Alligator mississippiensis: one gene and its partners. The protein of the gene in region 2 interacts with the protein of the main gene of each other region in a pairwise test. Links are inferred from orthologs where the notes say so. Each region holds a gene or a part of one and is shown on either strand. Other genes may lie near its edges. The genes, in order: RTN3, RTN4 and CERT1.

Evidence for each region.
Region 1: the proteins of RTN4 (region 2) and RTN3 interact in binary tests that used the Homo sapiens proteins (3 or more experiments, as listed by UniProt). The link is inferred for Alligator mississippiensis from reciprocal best matches to the Homo sapiens genes RTN4 and RTN3.
Region 3: the proteins of RTN4 (region 2) and CERT1 interact in binary tests that used the Homo sapiens proteins (3 or more experiments, as listed by UniProt). The link is inferred for Alligator mississippiensis from reciprocal best matches to the Homo sapiens genes RTN4 and CERT1.

Annotation. Positions count from the first base shown.
Region 1 is NC_081838.1:4,720,874-4,728,371, forward strand, and holds the start of RTN3 (reticulon-3), read right to left. Parts: upstream 3,101-7,498; 5' UTR 3,066-3,100; coding exon 1,004-3,065; intron 1-1,003. UniProt on the Homo sapiens protein: May be involved in membrane trafficking in the early secretory pathway. Inhibits BACE1 activity and amyloid precursor protein processing. May induce caspase-8 cascade and apoptosis.
Region 2 is NC_081824.1:207,171,882-207,178,999, forward strand, and holds the start of RTN4 (reticulon-4), read right to left. Parts: upstream 3,102-7,118; 5' UTR 3,020-3,101; coding exon 2,593-3,019; intron 1-2,592. UniProt on the Homo sapiens protein: Required to induce the formation and stabilization of endoplasmic reticulum (ER) tubules. They regulate membrane morphogenesis in the ER by promoting tubular ER production.
Region 3 is NC_081826.1:254,408,301-254,415,930, forward strand, and holds the start of CERT1 (ceramide transfer protein), read right to left. Parts: upstream 3,090-7,630; 5' UTR 2,889-3,089; coding exon 2,793-2,888; intron 1-2,792. UniProt on the Homo sapiens protein: Shelters ceramides and diacylglycerol lipids inside its START domain and mediates the intracellular trafficking of ceramides and diacylglycerol lipids in a non-vesicular manner.

The DNA of each region.
Region 1 (7,498 bases), on a different chromosome or scaffold from region 2:
TTGTTGCCTTCCACTGGACTCACTCCGATTTGTCCACATCTGTCCTGTAGCGGGGGGCCCAAAACAAGACACAGGACTCCAGATGTGCCTCCCCAGTGCTGAATAGAGGGGAGTAATCCCTTCCCTTGATCTGTTGGCAATGCTCCTATTAATGCACCCCAGCATGCCGTTAGCCTTCTCTGCATTTTGTTTGCTGTCGCTCAAGAGGTCTTCAGCCCAGCCCACGGCTCCTTGCGCTAACAGAAGCCTTCGTTGTGTCACCGGTTCCATGCTGACTGGACGCCAATTGAACCTTATATAATCTGTGCCTGAATCTCTTCCCCCCCAGCAAAAGAAAACCCCCTTATTATTGTGTGTCCAAACATGAAAAAGCTTTGAAGATGAGGCCTGAAATTCATCTTTCCAGCATAAACATGTGGGGAGTGTGAACAAAAGCTTCTATTCAGGACCGTTTTCAACCCGCTCCCCCCACCAACAACCCTTTATCTTCTGCAGAGAAACACTCACAATAACCTCTTACAATAAATTCAACGCTTGTGTTTGCTGAAGAGAGTCAATTTTTTTTTAAGCCCGACACGTGATTTCGGAAGCCTCGGGAACTGCGAGTTATTAATAGGGATGTCTGTGACATGGAGAATTTGCTATTTCTTGATGGTTGTATCGACTGGTTTGGCAGTAAATGGAGTAGGGATACGAGGGTCTTTTATTACCAAAGACCTCCCTACAAGGTCCCCTTCTCTCCCCCAACAAAGTCACGGACGGCCCAGCAAGAGAGGCATGCCCCAACTCAATCAAGGTCAAGAGATTTTACACAGAAGGTGCTCAGATACCATAGAGAGGGCTGAAGACACTGGAGGAACAGTGGAAGAACTCTTGCAAGCTCAAGATTAAGGAAGGAAACACGTTCGATGGTTTCCTTCAGAGACCTAAGATATCTACCTGTAGCATCAGGAGAAACATTGGACAAACAAATGAGATACTGTACTTCTAATGAGCGGTTTACCTGAAAACTTAGTCAGGAGTCTCACTAGAGCATGATCTACAGGAGGCTGGGCCGGCCCAACGCAGATGGGCTCTTTGGGGGTTTTGTCATCGGTGCCAACACAAGGGATGGGAGTTGGCTTGGGGTCCATAGGCTGTTGGACACACAGTGGCCTCTTCTCCAAGGTGGGTTTCTGAGGGGGTGTCCCAGTGTTGGGGTCATAGGCTGCCCTTCTTCCTTCTACCGGGGAGACTTTGCTTGATGTGGGAGATGTCTTCTCATTTACTTCTCCACCTAGCTCTTTGAGGGCCTTGATCGTTAGTCGCTCCTGCTCCAGATCTTGGGCTGTGGTGGGGGACCCTGGAGAGAAAGGGGATTTCTGGAGACTGCCTCCGCTGTAGGTTAGGTCTCTCTCAGTGTGTTCACGACTCTCCTTCACCTCTGACCAATATGCTCTGTCTCTGCAAGGTGCAGTTTTTGAAGCTACGGCTTCAGCCTCCAAGAAGTTTTCTGTGAGGTCCTCTGGGGAGTCGCCACTGCCTTTGGACTTCAGGCACTCTCTCATGAAGTCCACAAAGCTCTCCCCGTTCAAGGTGTTTGGACGCTGTTGGCCTTCTGTAATATGTGAGGGGGCTTTTCCACTTGGTGCATGTATAGGCTCTTTAGAAGGAACATCAGGCTTTCCACCAGCTTGAAGTGGCTTCACAACGCCAACTGAATTGGTGCGGCTCACTTGCTGTGCAGCTACGGGTGTAAAGTCCAGAGTGGAAGACTTGAGAAGTGTTGCTTCAGATACTGGACTCCCCCTGATATCGGGGTGAGCCTGGAGTGTTTCAAAGTCATCGATGAATCCTCGGTGGTCCTCTGGTGTCCTGGTGGGCATCATGCCCTTTTCAGGCAGCTCTGTGGGGGCCTCTTCATGATCGGCAATGATCCAGTCTCTGGTTTCGCCAGTGGTGATAGGGCTGATAGCTGGCTTTCCAGCTGGAGCTGCGCCATTCTCTGCAGGCTGGAGGATGAACTTGCCACTTCTGAAGGTCAGATCTGCGGTCATGTCCTCAATCACCGTGTCGTCAGATTCTCCCGAGCTGTCTGCATCTGCTGTTTCAACCAGGCTGGTGCCTGTCCAAGCAACATCAGCCTTCATATCGATAGTGGCAGGTCCGGAGGTCTTCAGATCCACAACTTGGCCTCGTGGAGAGTGTGGCTCGAACTGGTACTCCGACAAGTCTGCGGACACCCTGATGCTGATGGGAGAAGGGGAGGCTGCTTTAAATGCTTCCTTCTCTTCTCCTGTTGGCTGGGCAGGACTATCTATGGCATCCTTGGAAGGCAACTCTGACAGATCCAACTCAGGGACCTTGTTGGCAGACTCCACCTTGGGAATCAAGTCCCAGGTCAACAGCTCATTCGTGAAGGTATGCATCTCGCGCACGCACTTGGACACCTCTTCCAGGGCAGCTGTGGTGCAGGAAGACTGACGAGAGAGGCCAGCGCCCATTGGGAAGCTGCCGCTGCTGCCCCGCCGTGGTTTGGCTTCAAACTCGCAGACGCGATCCTCGGGAATGTCAGTGAGCTGCTCTCTCTCACCATGCACCACCCAGGGACCACCGAGATCGTTGGCTTCACTAATGAACGAGGCCTTGTACTCCTTGTCGAATGCTGCTTTATCCAGGATGACCTCGAACGGGGACTCGGGAGAATCCTTTTCCAGCACAGTCTCACCACCAGGCTGGGCCGAGGAGTAGATGGAGTCTTTGGGAGCGGGCTGCTCAATACCTTGTTTTTGCTCCATCAAGAAAGTAAATTTGGATTCGCTGCTGGCATCAGGCTTGTTTTGGTCCATAGCGCCTTGGTCCTTCTGCTCTGCTTGGTCATCCCCCCTCTGAACATCGCTTGTGGAATAGGTTTGCTCTTGGAAACCAACTGGAATGGCTGGGCCGTGAGAACGGGGCTCCGCTACGATGGAAAAGGGGGAGCCTTCTGGGGAACCCACAGAGGTTGCCTCCACTCCAGAATTCATGCTAGGCCCATGGAAGCTATCCACCATCGTTTTGCCGTCTACTGCTAGTTCCACCCTCATGTTCGTTAGGGCATGGGGCTCACTATCCGCCGGCGAAGATGCCTTATCAGAAAGGGGAGACGCAGTCCCCTCTGAGGCCAGAGATTTGAGAGAGAGGGAGAGATTCACAGTGTAGTTACAAGGTTAACAGCGAAACAGGCAACATGCTCTCAGGGTCTAGAAGGGAGGGAGAAACTGAGGGCCCAAGACACCAGCCTTGGCAGACATGCACAGCACTGCCAGTCACAGGACAGAAAAGCCACTGGACACAAGAAACTGCAATGTACAGCGGGACTTTTCGAGCAGCTGTGACCGATAGCAAACGACAAGGTGGGGGCCTCCATACCTGAAGTGTGCAAAGCGACCAGGGGTGGGTGAAGAGGATCTCAGGCATGCTGTGCTAGACACCGAGGGGGATGCTATGACATATGGTACAGATCCAAATGAGACAGCTGCAAATCACCCCAATTAAAGTGACTACTAGATGAGCCTGAAAAGGCCAAAGGTCCAGCCGCTGCCTGCTGAGCTTCGATGTTCTGGTTGGCCTGGACCACAAAAAGCAGTACGTCTTGAACACCCCTCACCCCTTTGTCCTGTGCTGGGAGCACACTACCTTCCTCTTCCCAGATCCTCTGCTCCTAGAAACAGGTCAGTCTGAAGGACAATGATTAGAATGAGAGAGAAGGCACCTGGCGAGGGACAGTTTCAAAGGAGCTGAGATGCACAGACCAGCAATCGCACCCAATGCTAATAAGGTGACCCTAGGAAAGTTTCCCTGCTCTCTACTCTACCGGCCAAGAGATCACCCTCTCAAAGAGAAATGCGTGGGAATACAGACATTTGAACCTGAAAGGTATAAAACCCCTCTACACCAAGACATAACGGTGAGAGTCTGGAATTTGCCTTGACCATGAGGATGAACTCTGAGGGGTTGGATTCGTCCCTATCTGGTAGTGAGCGAACTTATGTATGCTTAGCTGTATGTAGCTGCTCCTGAAAATGTTGCCTGATCACTAATGTCCCAATAGACTGGCATATGGCTCAGAGGAACTTGTTTGGGCTTCCCTGGATAAAACAGAAGCCTCCATAAGACATCCTAGTGTAACATTATTGCTTTTCTACTGCAGTGGTTCTCAACCTCATTAGAATCAAGGCCCCCCCTTGGAAGATGCCAGCTAGCTTTCGATCATAAGAGGTGCCGTTCTAGCTGAGACCACTGCTCCATCTAGTCCAGCAACCCATCTATCAATGGTGCCAGGAGTGGATGATTCTGAGGGAGACCAAAGTACCAGGTATACCTTGAGTGATCGCTCTCTTATGCGTTACTCTCCCTGGCATCTGCCATCATGGGTTGAGAGAAGCCAAGAGGATGCATCTTATTTCTTGACCATGAAAAAAAAATAGAGCAATTCTTCTATTGTAAAGAAGTCAGAAAGACCACGACAGGATGTTTTGGATCCTCAGGATTCCTACTGGATGTCTCTGTTTTATCTTGCGAATCATGTGCGGGTGTTTGCACAACTAAGTGCTGATAGTGTGTGGCACCTTTAGAAGGACCTTGCTTAGAAGAATCACTGTTCTGTTGTGAGGAAAAACTCCTCCTCCTTTCTCCTACCCTGGCGTGTGGGTAGGCTTGGTAGCCAAGAGCACCGGGGGCTAGGATGACAGCCCCACTTCAGGTCAAGGTCTTGAAAGGGAGACTGGTTATGTCATTCCAAGGTGGAGTCGTATCAGGGACGCCACTCACCTGAAACACAAATGTTTACGGGGCTATAGTACATCCTAACCCCGCCTTGAGCTTCGGGACAAGACGCCAGGCACTGTAATTAAGCAGATGTGCCCAGAGTGGATTCTCTGTGTGCAGCCTATGACTTCACTGGCACGGGCACCAGTCTGGGTGACACTGCCACTTGGGAAATGCTCCTATGCTTGGAAGTGTGGTTGTGAAAGGAGCTATGATGCTGTAAACCCTTGGAGGGTAGAGGAGAGAGAGAGAGAGAGAGGAGACTCGTCAGATTTGCATCGATACGGTGGCAATTCCTAAGTGGATTCAACTGTGTTGATTAGCTCCAAAACAACCCTTGCTATCAAGACTAATGAGAGCAAAAGGTCTGCTAAGAGGTGGAGCTCTGAACAGAACTTTATAGTAGAAAGTCTCTTTCTACGAGATGCTACGCCTCCCCTGGAGCTGATCAGAAGAGCCTGTTAGCATTAAAAATTAGGAATGTTTTACATGCACACAAATGAAGCAAGGCATAAGCCTCCAAGTTTCATCTGAATAAAGTTAAAATGCAGAGAAATACCTTACTATAGCACCAATTGCTTTGCAAATTAATGGCATGAGGAGCTAATAATTAAAGCGGAAAAACAAATGGGTTTGCTTTAATAGTTTATCCTTCACCTAGGCATTCATTCCTGCTCATCTGTGCAGTCTGGAAAACTGGGCCACTTTCAGCCAGTTGAAGGAAGCAACATGCTGGTTAAGTATAACACAAATACCATATTTTCTCACATATACTATGCATGGTTCACCCACAAGAACAAGCTGCTGTAAATTGCACTGCACATTATATGTGATAAATACAGTAAGAGCAGTTTCTGCCCAGTTAAAGGCAAAAGTAAAAGTAAAATCTGCAGGCAACTCAGGGAGCTATGAACAGGTTGGGATCCCTTGCTGCTGCTACTGTTTCTTACTACTACTGCTACTCACCCCGCCTTATTCTACCTTTCAAAAACAAGTGTGCTTTATATTCTGGGTGAGAGAATACAGTATATTCCTACTTTGCATGGCAATCATCTGTTATTAGGGTGTTAACAGAGTTTGAGAAATCAAAGACTAGGTTTGGAAGGCATCTCAGGATGTCGTCTAGGCCGACCCCTGCTCAAGGGAGGATCAGCCCTATCTAAACCATACCGTGCACATCTGTCTAGCTCATTCCAAATAAAAACTGCACAAACAACCTACTCACCCAACTACCAGGCACAAAGCCCGAAACCACCAAGAACACCCTAATTTGCCATAGGTAAAAGAAAGGGGGGCTGCCTATGTCTGCCCACTGGAAGGACAGGAAGGCCTCAGTTACATCTGATGGCATCACATGTTATATTGCTCCACCGCCATCCCCCAGATAACGCAGTGACACAACTGAAGCTTGTTTCCAATGTAGCATTTGCACCACCAGCATGGTCACAAACGAGAGAGATCACTGGCCAACTTAAAGTGTGTGTGAATACAAGCTGCTTGCTGTATATGAAGATGGTGCTAAGTGTGGAAGAAACGACTGTGGGGGGACATCAACCTTTGGCAGGTCTCTAACTGATACACAGCATGGCTCCAGCGACACAAAACTTAGGTACCATGCTGAACCATGGAGACTTCAAGGCAGAGAATGCAAGTTGAGAAGGCTGGACAGGATGTACGCAGGAATTATGCTGATGTTCCACCTAACAAAAATTGTATCAGTAAAGGGAAATAATTTTCCTTGTATCCTTCCCTGATTTTCAGAGAATCCAGACAAATGAAGACAGAAGGGGAAAGGGGGGGGGAGGGGAAGCCAGTGACTAGGTTTTTCTTGGTGTTCACTTCAACCTGTCTGAGAGCTTTTCCAAGCTTCCTTCCCACTGAAGGTAAAACTAGAGTAATATGAGAATCCTGCCTGGGGTATCTTCACGAAGTCAGGCTGGAAGGGACCTCCAGAGGTCACATCTGGTCCAACCCCCTGCTTGAGGCAGGACTGGCCCTACCTAACCCATCGTATACAAATCCATAATTTAAACTCTTCCTAAAACTATCATCAACCCTAATGCAATACAAAACATCACACCCCAACCTGCCACAGGTAAAGCAGGGGGAACAATGGTGGTCAAAGTCCTGCTTCTATAAAAGGTTGTTAATATACACACTCAAAGAGATCCCAGGGAAAAGGCCATGCCCCACCCCGTTACAGAAGAAGGCACCCCCCACCCCTCACAACACCAAGTCCATACCAGTCTGACCATGGAGGAAAATTCCTTCCTGACCTCAAACATTTCAAATGGCAAATGCAGTTGGGACATTTTCTAGAACAGCGACACTGGACATCTGTGGAGAAGGTCCTCAAAAGCCAGTTGTGAGAAATGAATGCAAAGTCCCACCTTGCATTCTCCCAGGGAGATGCACAGAGCTGCCAGAACCTGAGGTGGATGCCTTTTATTGGCAACTTTTATAGGATCAAGAGTGTCAGAGTCTCTCTCTTCCAGGCAGGACTTCTGGACCTGGAAAAACCTGCTCTTCCTGAAGCAAAGACTTAAGATGTTGCTGGATTTCACCAATCTGAGTGAATCTCAGTGGGGGGATCTCACTGCAAGGAGCTATGGGCAACAAGGCTCATGGGACACTTCAGGTTCTGAATAGAAGACATCCACTACAACTGCCAACAGCATCCTACCGAATCAAATGTCACGTTGGACAACGT
Region 2 (7,118 bases):
CATATTTCAAACTCTCTCTGTATATTTAAAATAATGTAGGGCAAATAATACAGTAGATCATACATCATCATTTCAAAAACTTAACACACACACACACACACACACACACACACACACACAGTATTTATTCTTTGTTTAACAGCTCACTGTACATATGCTTGCTACAAGCAATACCACCCCATTTTTTGCCATTTTATGACTTTTGAACATGTTCAAGACTAAAACACATCAGTAAATCTCACTGTAGAAGACTTCTGACCAAAATACTGCACATTTTAAACTTCTAGATCACAACCATGAAATCTCCACTCGCATCTTAAACCTATATAAGGAAGAAGAAGGTAAGCAACTATAACACTCCAAAAGAGCTGAACTGGTACAGATGCATATCATGTTATTTCTTCACTCTCCTATATGCCGCAAAATGACAGTAAAAAGCTAAACTAAACATTCTGGTTGGGATGAACAGTTCCAACGTTAGCTCCTACGCTCCAGCTTCAAAAAAAACACCTGGAATTTCAACACCAATATGCTATAAACTTAAAATACTCTTCCACCCAAGAGAACTGAAGTACTCGTGCTGTTTAACTAAGTTCATGTCTAAACATTATTTCCTTAGTTAAGGGTATGCTAATTTTATTTTTACGTTAGAAGCAATTTCAGATTCTTGGACTTGAAATATTTCCCCAGCAACTGCTAATCCAAGGTCTATGCCTACCAGGAAGGGTGTGAAATTTAGGGAAAGTGCAATTCTATTTGTACTTTCAACCCTTATCTATAAGCCACACTTGCCAAAGATGCCAGCCCAACAAGGAATCAGTAACGCTGTCAGTCTTATCTAATTCAGGCCTCACTAAATTCTGCCCATTCCAAGTGAAATTCTGCAACTGATCCCCACTGAAAAACACATCAGATACTAGACCCTCTCTGACCCATGACCCTCTCCTCCAGCACCTAACAGCCTGTATTATATGTTGTGGTTACTCTAAAAAGAAGCAACAGCTCCGAAATTACTCCTATTCCTGCTTTCCTCCCTTGTGGGGAACAATAAAACACATAGAACAGCTCCATGGACTCTGCTCTTTCCCTCTAAGTTAAAGGAGCCTCTGCACTTGGCCCACTCCTTTCCTTTGTTGTGTCATTCTGCTCAAGCTCTTCTTCCCCTATTCTGTTCAACTCACTTGCCCAGGCAAAAATTTCTACCCAGTCAGCACACAGAACCCCTCCCCCACCTCTTCCAGATTCCCTTGTGAGTTTTCGTGGTTTTAAAATCCCATGATTTCATCCAACTGGAATGGGGAAATAGGAAGCAGTATTCTTCTCAACCTTAGAAACATAGGACTGTTGCTATGTAAAGAACCAACACTGACTAGAGAGACTACAGCTACCTGATGAAACAGCAAAGCTGCTAAATGCACAACTTAAATGAGCTGCAAGACTCAGGAAAACTAAAATGGACCTCGAATAGAAAACAAACACTTGTTGAAGGCAGGAATCTCACCAGTTACATCCAAGCCATTTTAAATCACACCCTTTATGCACCCATGTTGCTGCACGGTTGTACGTCTTTGGCGCACATGCTATGGCAGGGCTAGGCAAGCTGGGGTGGGGGAGGGAACCTGCATCTAGACTTCCTTTTTTCTGGTTCCAGCTGCCTGAAGTGGCTTCTTTGACTAAGATCAGCATTTCAAGCTGAGTAGGGCAGGGGCTAAAACAGAACGGCAACCCCCCTGTTACAAAGCAAGAGCCACACGCAAACTGGAGACCCCCGTAAAAAACTTCAGCAACATTGACAGCAATTCTGGTGGCGCTTCCTCCATTAGCGGTGCTGAACCAGCACCCACCACACTTAACAACGGAAGGCTCCTCCAGATGCTGCCTCTAAGAGCTCCAAAGGCAAGCCCCTGGTCTTTTGAGATCTTATTCCACTGCCTCCCAAATGTTTCCTCAGCAAAACCCCATTTATGGCCCAATTTCCTCACTCCCAAACCCCAGCCCCCCACCCACTGAAAATTGCGACCCCAGTGCTGCCAACTAGCATGATTTCTGGCATTTGTTCTTAAAGCCTATGCTCTGGAAATGTGAAAGGCTGAGCATCTCTCTCTCAGAGCTATAGATATCTCTCTCTCTGAGAGACCGAGAGAGATCGAGATTTATACATCTATGTTAAGTTTTTATGGAAAATTTTAGGATACGAAAGACTCAGCATAGATAGATAGATAGATAGATAGATAGACAGACAGACAGACAGATACTGGTTTTCACATTTCCAAGGCGTAGACTTTAAGACCACCGCCAAAGATCACTCGAGTTGACAACGCCACCCCCAACTGGGCAACTGCCGCCCTGTTGGCTTGCGGCCTCTAAAGCCCAGAGGCGGGCCGCAGGGGCCGGCCCCTCCGCGCTATAGGCGCAGCACCCGGGCACAAGCCTCCTGCGCAACCCCGCGCCTTGCAGAGGCCGCAGGCGAGTTGCGCAGAGGGGACGCCCCTTCCCCGGGAGGGCCCGGGGCGTGGCCGGGAGGCGAGGCGGGCGACAATGGGCAGGCGGCGCCGGGCGCTGCAGACAAAGGGGCGCGGCCGCGGCACTCACCGGCGGCGGCTGAGGACGGGCCCCGGCGGCGGGGCGCGGGGGGCAGCGGCGCGGGCCGCGCAGGCTCGGGCGACGGCGTGGAGGCAGCGGAGGAGGAGGAGGAGGAGCCGAGGCCGGCGGGGGAGCCCGGGCGCTGCGGCGGCTCAGGCGCGGCGGGGCGCGGGGGCTGCTCGCCGCCGCCCAGCTCCAGGCGCTGCGGCGCGGGGGCCGGGGGCGCGGCGGCTGCGGCGGGTGGCGGGCGCCGCTCCATCACCTCCAGCTGCTCGTCGAAGTCCTCGTCCTCCTCCTCCTCGTCCTCGTCCTCCTCGGCGCCGTCGCCGCGCCCGCCCGTCTCGGGCTCCCGCACGAACTGGTACTGGAAGCGCGGCGGCGCCGGGGCCGCGGCCGCGGACGACGACACGAGCGGCGACTGCTCCGGCTCGTCCATGGCGGGACAATGGGCGCTGCCGGGCCGGAGCTGCCGCCGCTGCTGCTGCTGTGCGCGCGTTCCACGCCCTGTTGAGTCACAATCGGCTGAGGGGGGGCCCTTTGTCGGGGAGACGGAAGGAGCGGGCAGCCAATGGGAGCGCGAGGAGCCGCCAGGCCCCGCCCCCGCAGCCAATGAACGGGCGCCGCCGCCTCATGAATAATGCAGCGAGGGGCGGGGAGAATTGGCGTCGAATGCGGGGGGCTCGGGAGTAGACAGCGCGGGCGGCGGGCGCGGTGCTGCGCGAGGCCCCGCCCGACAATGGGGATGAGTCAGGAGCCGAGTGACACAGCTGAAAGCCGGAGGCCGCGGGCCCCGGCCGGGTCCCCACCCGTGGTCACTTCTTCCTGCCGCGCTGGGTTTTTTTTGAGGGGGGTTATTAATATATTTAGTGCTCCGGGTCAAATCAGTTCCAAATCATATTGACTGAGCAAAAAGCACGTGGATGAAGCAGGCAGTACTCGATCCTTCTAGACACCATGATGGTGCTACAACCCACAAGCATCTGCCCGCCCAAGCTGTCACTCTGAGACTTCAGATACCCCCCAGATCCATTGCTAGGTATCCCACCGGCAGGCCCAACTGCAAAGTTCTTGGGATTCAGATGCCCCCACTGAGACGCTTGATCTGTGGGTGCTTGTCCTGGCACTGCACCACCTGGCTGGGATTCATCCTGTGCTACCCCCCTGACACCCCACCCTGGAAAGAGGGCTGAGCAGCATTGGCAACATGTAGGGGGTATACACAGGTGCATGTGCAGCCCCTGAGAGAAGCACTGCCAACACTGCCGGCAGCAACCCCGGGCAGTCACTGCTTGCCCCCTCCTCCCCCTGCAACACTGCAGGCAGCATCTGCAGACACTCACCAACACCGCCATGGCCACCTATAGGGCCTCCGTGCTCGCTGCCACCACAGCCCCACCACTGCCACCTGCGCCCAGTCACCATGACCCCCAGCCTCCGGGGCCACACGTCAGTCATGCTGAGCAGCATGGAGGCCTCAGGGACAGGACTTTTTTTATTTAAGGAAAATGTTTCCTGTCCCAAGTCAAATTAGCCAAATCAATTCCAAATCCATGTGAATCATTCAAGAACCATACATGGGCCTGCTACCTCCACCCCCACCTGGGGTTTCAGATATTTCCAAATCCTTTGGTGGGCATCCTACATGCAGGCCCAGGCCTGGAGGCTTGGGGTTCAGATGCCCCTGAGTTTCACTTGCCCTCAGCCATATAGCCAGAGGAGCAGGCTAGGGCGGAGTCTCCCATTTCCAGAAAGTCAGCATGTAGCCAAGACCCTCCCACTGAAGTCAAAGTGGGGGGCTAACTATTCATTATTTCGGTGAGGGTACTATCCCCTCCCACATTTGTGGCTTTCCCTTGCCAGTAGGAAAACCATCTTGGTGGTCATGGTATGTCCCCTACCAGGTAACAGGACCCTGGCATCTGTCAGCTGTGAAACTGTTCTCTGCTCCCTCAGGTTCTTGTTTGAGACAGAGCCACAGCCCAGCCATGGGACAACACGGTGGCAGCTAGCGAACAAATGGTTTTCTACAGTAACCTAATGTGTGTGGCATTTCTCAGACATGAAACGGGTTCTCACCCCTGGCCTTTTCATTCAGCCTGCGCCACTCCCCCCATAGTCAGGACTTTGGTGGAAAGGGAGCAGTAGCACTGCTCTCCTGCTGTCAAATTTCCAGGCCGGTGAGGAGTCCCAGGCCCTGGCTGCTAGCTCAGGCACCCAATCTGGTGTGCAGAGCCAGGCAAGGCAGCATCCAGGGTACTGGCCTGGTGTGAAGGGCACAGCCAGGCCCCAATCTCGATATAAGGGGTCTGCCGGGTACACTGCAAAGTCCCCAGCACCCAGTTGTGGTGGGAGGGGGTGGTGCTTGGCCCCAATCCCAGTGCGTGGGGCCAAGAAAAGGTAACTTCTTGCTACAGCCACCCAAACCCCGGGCTGCCCTGCCATTCCTCTGAGCTGCCATCACTGCCCCACTGGGTGGCCTGAATGCAGCAGCGACAACAGTGGAGAGGAGCAGCAAGGCAGCCCAGGCTCAGGCTCCAGGCAGCTGCAGCAAGTAGTGCCCAGCAGTGGCGAGGGGGAGGAACTGCTTTTTGTCCACACCAAGCAGCAGCTTCTGCCCAGCCACCACCACTGCTGCCACTGCTCAGCATGTGCAGGGTGTCTGGAGCAGGTGCAGGGCAGGTCAAGGCTGTGCACGCAGGTTCCAACTAGTCCGGAGCTGGTCTGCTCCACTGGGCAGAGTCTGGAGCGGGCACGTGGCAGGCCAGAGTCAGGGCTGCATGCTCATTTCCCCACCTGTACCGCAGGTCTGGGGACAGTGGCAGCAGCAGCAGGAAGGAGCTGCCATTGCCTCCTGGGCTGCCTACAAAGGCAGGGCAGGCTGGGGGCTGTGCACTATTGGCGGTGGTCCATGGGTTCTAGCCTGCTGCAGGGGGGCAGGAGGGGAAGGGGTGCTGACTGGCCTGTGGCAGATCCCCAGAACTGCCAATGTGGCTCATGGGCAAAAACAATTGCCCGACCCTGATCTAGACCCAAGTCTGCAGCTTTGTATCCATTGCATTGAACTTAAAAATGTCAGCAGTCTTCATAAATTAAATTAAACTATTCACTTGACTAATGGAACCACATGAATTAGTAAGTACCATTTGACATTAATATTGCAGAACCTTCAGCACGAGCCCTCTGCAAGAACTAAGTCCCAATTAAGCCTCATTTTGATGGCTTTAGTTGTTCACAGGCCTTGTGCTGGCTTTGCACAGGATTCTATTTCACCTCTTGTTAGCACCTGAGGTCCCTGTCCTGCCAAACAGCTGACTCAAGGGATTGCTAGAACTGTAGACTTCTATTTCATGGTTGTTCAGCTTATTACTAACCAAAAAATGTTAATTTCTCATTTTCCTTTGCATTTCAAAATCATATTTGCTATAAATGAGATCAGTAGAACAGGTCGAGCACAGGCAGAGCCAGTATAATGGTCTGCTCACTGTGCCTCAACCCACATCTAGAAAAATCAACTACTAGTGAAATGGATGATTCGGGCCCTGTCTATAATGTGTCAAAATGGATGGCAGGGAGGACAAGACTGAACACTCCCTATGTCCCTTACATTGAGTCTGCCGACACTCCAGAGCCAGAAGTTCACCCAAAAGGCTGTTCCAGATTCATTCTCTGCCTGCCTGCTTTTGTTCACCAGTGAATCTGAGAGCAGGCATTGGAGATGAGTCCAGAGTATGCTTACAGGTGAACTTTTGGCTCTGGAGCACGTCAGTGGACTTGTATAGGAAGAACATGTTAAGTCCTGGCCTGTCCAAGACCTGCCACGTTGTGGTATAGACAGACCCCCCAGGGCGCATCCAGACTTGCGTGGACGTTTGGTTCCCTGGGGACAAGAAGCAGCGGTGCACCTTGCACCGCTGCTTCTTGTCCCCAGGGAACACGCATGCCACACACACACTTTGGCATGCAGTAAGTTGCCCCGGGTGGTATAGGGGAGGCTGCAGCCAGCACTGTGCTGTCCCCAGCAGCCTTACCTGGGGTCCTGGGGGCTTCCTGGAGCTGCAGCCATGGCAATCCTGCCAGGCAGAGCTTGGCTGGCAGCCGCAGCACAGCTCCGAGCAGTCCAGCTCTGCCTTTTAGTAGCTCATGCTGCACGAGCATACACTGCTTGGGGGATTTTTTCCCCCCACATATTTTTTTTTTTTTTTACCCCTGGATATCCAGAGGTCAAAAAACACTTCAGGAAAAAAAAATGGAGCAGCACACACTCAGGCAACGTGCTCTTCAGGCACGGAGAACTCTGGACTGTGCAGTATGTTGCGCTGCAAACGTGTTTGCAGCACCACATAACAAACGGCCAAACTCATCTGGACACGCCCCCAGTCTCCAAACTTTTATTTAGTCCTAATATTCACTGCTGAAACTAATTATTAATGCAGATTTTCTTTAATGTGTACCCAAGCGAAACCAAGATAATTTTCTTATTTCATATAGCCATAGGATTGTAATACCTTTCAATTACTATTGATATGAGACATATC
Region 3 (7,630 bases), on a different chromosome or scaffold from region 2:
AAAGATGGTGCAAATTCAGTATGTTAGCTTCAATACAGCAAGGTGGATCTGACTGAAATCAAATTGATTTTAATCATGACTTAAATCACAATTTAAAATCACTGGTCAGGAAGCCTCAATTTAATTGCCGTTTTCTACAAATGTGCATTCTTGTTGATATCCTTTATTCATTTAACATCTTGAAGCTTTGCACTTTTAGAGAAAGATAAGGACTTGACTCTGTATACAAACTTGCAGAGACAAGACTGAAGAGTAGGTAATCATTCACGTCTGTTCTCTCTCATCTCTATATACTGCTGTTAACAAGGATATTATCTCTGGAGACAAATCCACAGTTTGACAACTGAAACTAAGCATCACAGAGATGCTTAATGGGATCTTCTAGACTGAGCACTGAGTCCCAGGAGAGTGGGTTTCTTTAATCTTTATTAATCTACAGAGGAGCCAACAAAAACCCCGTAAGATTGGACCCCCAATATAGTCCATGGCCTGTTGTGACCTATTTATAAAACTTTTCTAGAAAGGTTATATAAACATATCATCTCAAATAATATATAATTAAAGTTAATTCCTATTCCATGATGATCTCTTTGAGCTTTAAGAGATCTTAAATTAAAGCTATCTTGACATTAGATTTTTTTTTATTTAATTGTATTTAAAAAAAATTTTTTTTTGTTAAGATGCTTTAAAAAAACAAAACCTAATTTAAATATATTTTTTAAATGGTTGATTTAATTAATTGACCCTGCAATACAGTTTTAGGTAAGCAAAAAAAAAAAGGGGGGGGGGGGAATCTTGTAAAGGAAAGACTACCTGTTTAAATAATTGTATTCAAATTTTTCTAGTTTGTGTCCACCTTTAAAAGGTAAACAAAAAAAATGAACTACAAGAAGGGCATTGCAGATATTTAAAAACATTCAAGTCAGTAAGAACATGTGTACAGATTTAAGCATAAAAAAAAAAAACAAACACTAAGCCCTTTATTTATAAATCAGCTCCTCCTTTCCCAATACTGAGATCCTACCTGCTCTCCCCACAGGGAGCAGGGCAGGTGAGGGGAAAATGAAAAGAAATATCTTGGAGCACCTGAAACACAATAAATAGTTGGAACCTGCTCTTGCTGGTATGGAGTATAGTTCCATATGAAAGAGCCTTTAAAAATAAGAACATTTGCATACTAAACAGGCCATTAGGCAATCAGTTCAGTTGAATTCATTTCGCTCTCATATTTCTGAAGACATGAATTAAGCAGCAAACAAACCAGCAAAAAAACCAAGTGAATATAAGCCAGCCATAATGCCTTCCTGCATGTTCACTACAACAGGTTTCATCATGCTTCACAATTCAGATGAAACCCCCATGTGAGAACACAGTGGGGATAAACAGGAAAGGCAAAGCAGTCTGTGAAAATCAGCATAATCACCACAAACAGGAAAGACAACCACATACTACCTTCCAATATGGCACAGAAGTTTGGGAAGACACCTTGGGATTTCACGTACTTGATAGTCCCACCATTACAAGCTAACATAGAACTTCATGCAGCATGTCATTTGCCAATATTCAAGTGGCCAGCACACCACAAACATAATTTTTCTACCTAAAGACCTGAATCACCTAATAAGGAGGTAATGTTGCAGGGCAGCAAAGCACATTACTGTACCAAAACCTCCCATGAATGAAAACCATTGTGAAATGTCTCCTGTCCCCTCCCCCAATACCAAATACAAGATTTCCCAAACAAGAGCCAAGGCCGCTCTCTTTTTGAGCACTCCTCCCATCTGAGCTAAGAAACATTTTCCAGTTGGAAAGAGCTCATACACTCCCTTACAAAAAAGCATAACATCTGGTTAAGTTACAATAGGTTTCTTCGTATACAAGAGTGGCTCATGATCTCAGTATCCCATGACCTCGGCATTCTGTGCAGACTTAAAAATCATCCTTGTGGCAAAGCAGGACAGAAATGCTGAACTCAGCCACCTGGGTGTATAATGATATTACTTTCTCTAGAAAACACCAGCACCTCTCTGTTGCTGAAGCCGTTCACTCAACAGTTAGCCCTTAAAACACTCCTAATCTATTAAAAGCCTATTTAATCTCATTTTGCCTGCAGTTGTGAGCCGTCTCCTTACATTTCCAAACCAAAAGGAAAAGGTTTGGCTCCCCCCATGGAAAGCAGAAAAAAAAGCAGCAGCAAGAATTGGGAAAAAAGCAGCATCAGTGCCATTTTCCTCCTCTCGCACCCCCCACATCTCCTGCGGCAGGGGGTGGTTTGATTGCACTGTTTTGATACTTGGGCTAAAGGTTGTGCCACTCCTCTTTGACGTCTCCCTACTTATGGGAAGTGATTTGTGTGCGAGCATCACATGCTGCTTGGGGGGGGGAGGGGGGGGAGAATAAGAGAGAGAGAGAGAGAGAGAGAGAGACCATACCAGAAAAAAAAAGAAACAAAATGAGAGAAAGAAAAATGAGCAGCATTTTCCCCGGGCGAGCCGAGCCCCGGGCGACCACCGCATGCCCAACTCCGCTCGCGGACCTGATGCGCGGCTCCGCCCGTGCCGGCCCGGGAGGGGAGGGGAGGGGAGGGGAGGGGGCGCCGGGGCAGACATTCGTGCGGGCGGCGATGACTCCCCATTTGGGGGTGGGGGCGAGCGGAGACTTCGCCGCTCTCAGGACGGGCGCTAGAAGCATCCTCAGCCCGAGCCCTCCCCGTGCCCGACGCCCGCCGGCTACCCCAACGTGCCCGCCCGGCCGCGGGGAGGGCAGCGCCAAGCGGGCGGCGCCGTCCCTACCTTGCTGAGGACGCCGCAGAGCTCAACAGGCGGCCCGGACTCGGTCTCGGGGTCCTCCTCGGAGCCGGACGAGTTCCAGCTCTGGTTGTCCGACATGGGGGCCTGACCCGCCGCCGCCACCGAGCAGGGAATCGCGGCGCGGCCCCCGCTCACCGCAGCCGCCTCCCGCCGCAGCCACTGGCTCCACCTGCGCGGTCCCGCGCCCGACCTGGCTGCACCCGCCGCGGCTTGGCTTGGCTCCCGCCTCTGCGCCGTGCGGCCCCAGCCCGCAGCGAACACCGGAGTCGCTGCCGCCGCTCAGAGCGCCGCCGCCGCCATCTTACACAGGGAGGTCGCTCCGTGCCACTATTTACCAGCCCCCCCTGGCCCGCGCCGCGCCGCGCCGCGCCCCCGCCCCGTGTCACGGCCCGCGCCGTGCTGCCCGCCGGGCCTTGTAGTTTCGCGAAGGCAGCCGAGGGCGGGACGCCTCGGTGCATCTTGGGAGTTGCAGTCTTTCTCCGTCCTGGAGCTGAGCATGCTGGGAGACGCAGTCCACCGCGGGAAAGCAGTTACACTGGGAGGGGAACTGGCAGCCGCCATCTTGGCTCCACTGCCTGGAACTGAATGTGACTTTTCCGGTCTTCAGTGTGGTGGGGCCCGATTTCCTGCCTCTCCTCACAGAGACCGCTGTCTGCTACCTTGCCCGGCTTCGTAGCTCTTCTCCAGGCAGGAGAGATTCCCCGTTCCCCCACCCTAGCGCAGGTGTCGGGAAGCTGGTGCCTGCCTAGTCTGCGGTCTTTCCCTTAACAAACATGGCGGCCGCGGCGTCACGCCTCCCGCAGGAAGGGGCGGTCCGAGCCGGCCGGCTGAGGGAAGGTGCCGCCGGCTCACAGCTGAGGCATCGGGGCAAGCGATACTTCCTGCGGTCACAGGTAACGTGGCCGGCAAGCGGGTGGGCCCTGCGTCCCCAGCCGTGTTCTGGGCGTTGCCTCGTCTGTAGCTCCCGGGCGAAGACACGGGAGCCCCGCCCCCCCGCCTCGGCCGCCCCTTCGCCCGGCAGCGGTGTCCCCGGGCCCTGCCTCCGCGCGGCCTCTTCCCGCCGCCTCTCGTCCCCGGCCCGGTGCCCGTTGGTGCCGAGGCTTGTCTGGACCCAACCAAGAGCCGCGCCTCGGCGGGGGCGCAGAGCTGCCACCTCTTAAATATAAAATTATCGAATTGGAAGCTCAAAATGATCGTATTTGCCAAACAACTATTGTACACTGAAAAAACACGCAAATCAGTATGCCAGAAAGTCGTTGTGGTCTTTACTTTAATTCGCTGTAACCCGCCAGTGATGAGTAAGACCTGGGTCATTCAAGTTGAAGCTTTTCTTTATTTTGAGGCAAGCTGTCATAAGAAAGTGCTGACAGCAAGCCCAAAAATTGGTTAAGACTCCCTGACAGTGGCTTGGGTTTTGCATATGCTGCATCAATTAGCTGCTTCAAATGTATTGTACATTTTGAACACTTTCACCATTATTGGTTGTATGTTGCACAAGGGTTGAAGATATACAAATATGATAATTATTGTACACCTGGCAACAGTGGTGCAGCATCAGCTCAAGGTGCTTGGGCTGCATCAGCTCGCGTGGCTGCCTCCAGCCATGGAGGGCCCAGGAGCCCAATCCTTGCAGCGCCTGGGCAGGGCTAAGGCATGCAAGGCTGATGGCTGCACTGGGACCCACACATGCCTGTGCGAGGGCAGGCTCTGTCCCTGGCTCACCTGTATTATCTCTACTTCTTAAGGCGCAGGTCTGCCCTCAGCTTGCTTGGGGTGCGCAGTCTCATTGGAGAGGGGCAAGGTGGGGTGTGCAGGTGGGGCTGGGTAGCACTTTGGGGACAGACTCGTTCAGAAATGCATAAGCATTCATGACTCAAACTTAAACTCAGTTCACTTATGAGAGGCTGTGACCAGATAGCAGCTTCATTATGTGAAGCTGACCATTACTTACGAACCCTTCTCCGTTTCTGAATGAGTTTGCCTGCAAGGTGCTGCCCTGCCCTGCCTTCAAGTAGACTCTTTCACATGAACTCACGGCTCCTGATGATTACAGTGAATGGAAAATGTGTCAGGCACGTGGACGGATGTAAGGATTTTGAACAGGCTGGTGCAGATGCTGAGGTGGGTCAGCACATATAAAATAGACCATATTTTTTTCCACATAAAAATAAAAGCTTTGTCAATAGGCTGGGGGGTCTAGGCCTATATTATTCAGTTTAAGATTGAAGCAAAAACCAAAGTAACTTCATTGGAATGAGTTAAAAGCTCATGAGACAATAAGCTGAATACGAGCCAACAGTGTGCCCCTGTTGTGAAGAAGGCTAACAGCATACTGGGCTGCACTTCCAGCAAATCCAGGGAAGTCATTCTTCCCCTCTATTCAGGCCACACCTGGAGTACTGTATCTAGTGTTGCTGCCGCGCCTCCCCCCCCCCCCCCCCTGCACACTGCAGAAAGGATGTGGACAAATTGGAGAGAGTCCAGCAAAGGGCAACCAAAATTGTTAGAGGCCTGGGACACATGACTTCTGAGGAGAGGCTGAGGGAACTGGGTTTATTTAATTTGGAGAAGAGAAGACTGAGAGGGGATTTAATAGCAGCTACCTGAAGTGGGGTTTCAAAAAGGATGGAGCTAGACTGTTCTCAGTGGTGGCAGATGACAGAACAAGGAACAATGGAAGGGAACAAGGACAGTTTAGGTTATATATTAGGAAGAATTTTTTCACTACGAGGGTAGTAAAGCACTGAAACAGGCTACCCAGAGACATGGTGGAATCGCCATCCTTGGAGCCTTTTAAGACCTGGCTAGACAAAGCCTTGGGTGGGATGATCTAGAAGGGGACAATCCTGATTTGAGAAAGGGGTTGGACTAGATGACCTCAAAGGGCCCTTCCATCCCTGACTTTTTATGATTCTAAAAGCAATCTGCAGTGCTGTGAAATAGGAGCTTCATGACCCGGAACAGCTAACAGACAGCCGAATTGCAGAAGAAAGACTAGCTTGATGGGTGGAACATCAAGACTCTTAAAAGGAAGAAAGGGTCATTAACACCTGTGGAATGAAGCATTTAGAAGGAAGTTAAAAGGAATCAGATAGATTATGAAGTATGAAGTCCATTGACTTCCTCAGAGTGCCTGACTAGAAATGCTGCTGTGACTGCCAGGCAGTTAGTTTTAAACTTCGGGTGGAACAGGAATCAGAGGGGATGCAAGTGCTTCAGTGAACACTGTGCCCCTCCCCTCCACCTCTGGTTGTACATATATACCTTTGGAAATAATCATGCAGATTAATAGTAAGGTACTTAGCATACATTAATTGCAACCGTGATGCAAATTTGCAGAATGTTGAGGGAATGGGGAAATTATGTTAGCACAGTGGAAGCTACAAATATTTTAGGATGCTTTAGATGTTTTATCTATTTTTTTATGTTTGAAATTAATTTAAAGTAATTTTTCTCTCTCTTATTGCTGCTGTCAAATTCACTTACAATTAGACTATGATCAAAAGTTTTGTCCACTGGTAACATGACTTGTTTATCTTGGCTCTCTTAACTATTACAGTGTTTCTAGTTAAATCTTAATTTGTATCCTGTATATTAATAGTCATAGCAACAAATGAGATTCATTTAAAATATAGAAAGCATAATATACTTTGCTTCCTTTACCATCTATCTTCTCTGGGATGTGTTAATAGAATGGTTTGATAAGATTTCATTAAACTTGAATATGATTTCATCCTTAAATGTGCTAAATAATTTACAGCTCTGCTCCTGCATTTGGGAGGGAGGGTGTGGAATATGAGCATGCCTGAGCAAAGCTCATCAAAACTGACTGGGCTGTGCATAAGTTGTGGGATCAGGGCTGTAGTTCAAAGAATCCCTCAAAGTGATTAAAGAAAAAAACATTAATGAAACAGATACTAGAACCAAAAAAAACCCCAAAACACCTGACTACGAAAAAGGAAAATTTTTCAAACTTTACTGTACAGCTTCTAGCTACAGGTCCAAATAAAAACAAACAACCCCCTGCCGCCCCCCCCACCCCCCCCAAATTAAAAAAGAGTTAAGGTTGAAAGTAGGCTTTTCCTGTAACCTGCCCCATTTATACTTTGCCCCAGTCCTTGATTTCCCTCACTCATTGTTATTTTGTACCCTGATAATAACTGCCTCCATGCTATACTCAGGTTCTCCATGATTCCCTTTAATGTCTGTTTTTTTTCCTGTCCTTGCCTGTTTCTTGCCCTGTCCACCTCCTTCCTGTATATTTACCAATACTGTTGACTCCGTTCTGGATATGCTTGTCCCTTGCTCCTCTTCTGTTCATCCCTGTCTTAATACCTTCTGTTTCATTCTCTTTCCATCTGATGAAGTGAACTTGGGGTGACAAAAGCTTGTGGTCTCTTAGTCTATAAATGTGCATATCTACCCTGCTTTCTCACACTCATTCCCAGTCAGAGCTGACCCTGCAACCTTCAAACTTCAGTACTCTGAATTCATCCTTCACTTCTCTGGTCTCCTGCACCATCCTCCATTCCTTCAAGCAGTTGTGTTTAAAGAACAAAACATTAATTGATTTGGTTATTTAAGCAGCTGTTAATATTTTTAATGTCTTTTTACTAAAACAGTTGTGTGTGATCCCTAGAAAACAGAAAACAATTTAGAAACTTTTTAAAAACAAGAAATTTATATGTAGTGTATGTGTGTATAGAGTTAAATGTGTGTTCCTATTTTAAAAAAGTGCGAGCAACAGTACTCTTGGCATAATGTTTCCTGATGAATTTTGACCATGAGAATTCAGTTTTTAAATGATCTTTTCTGGTTAT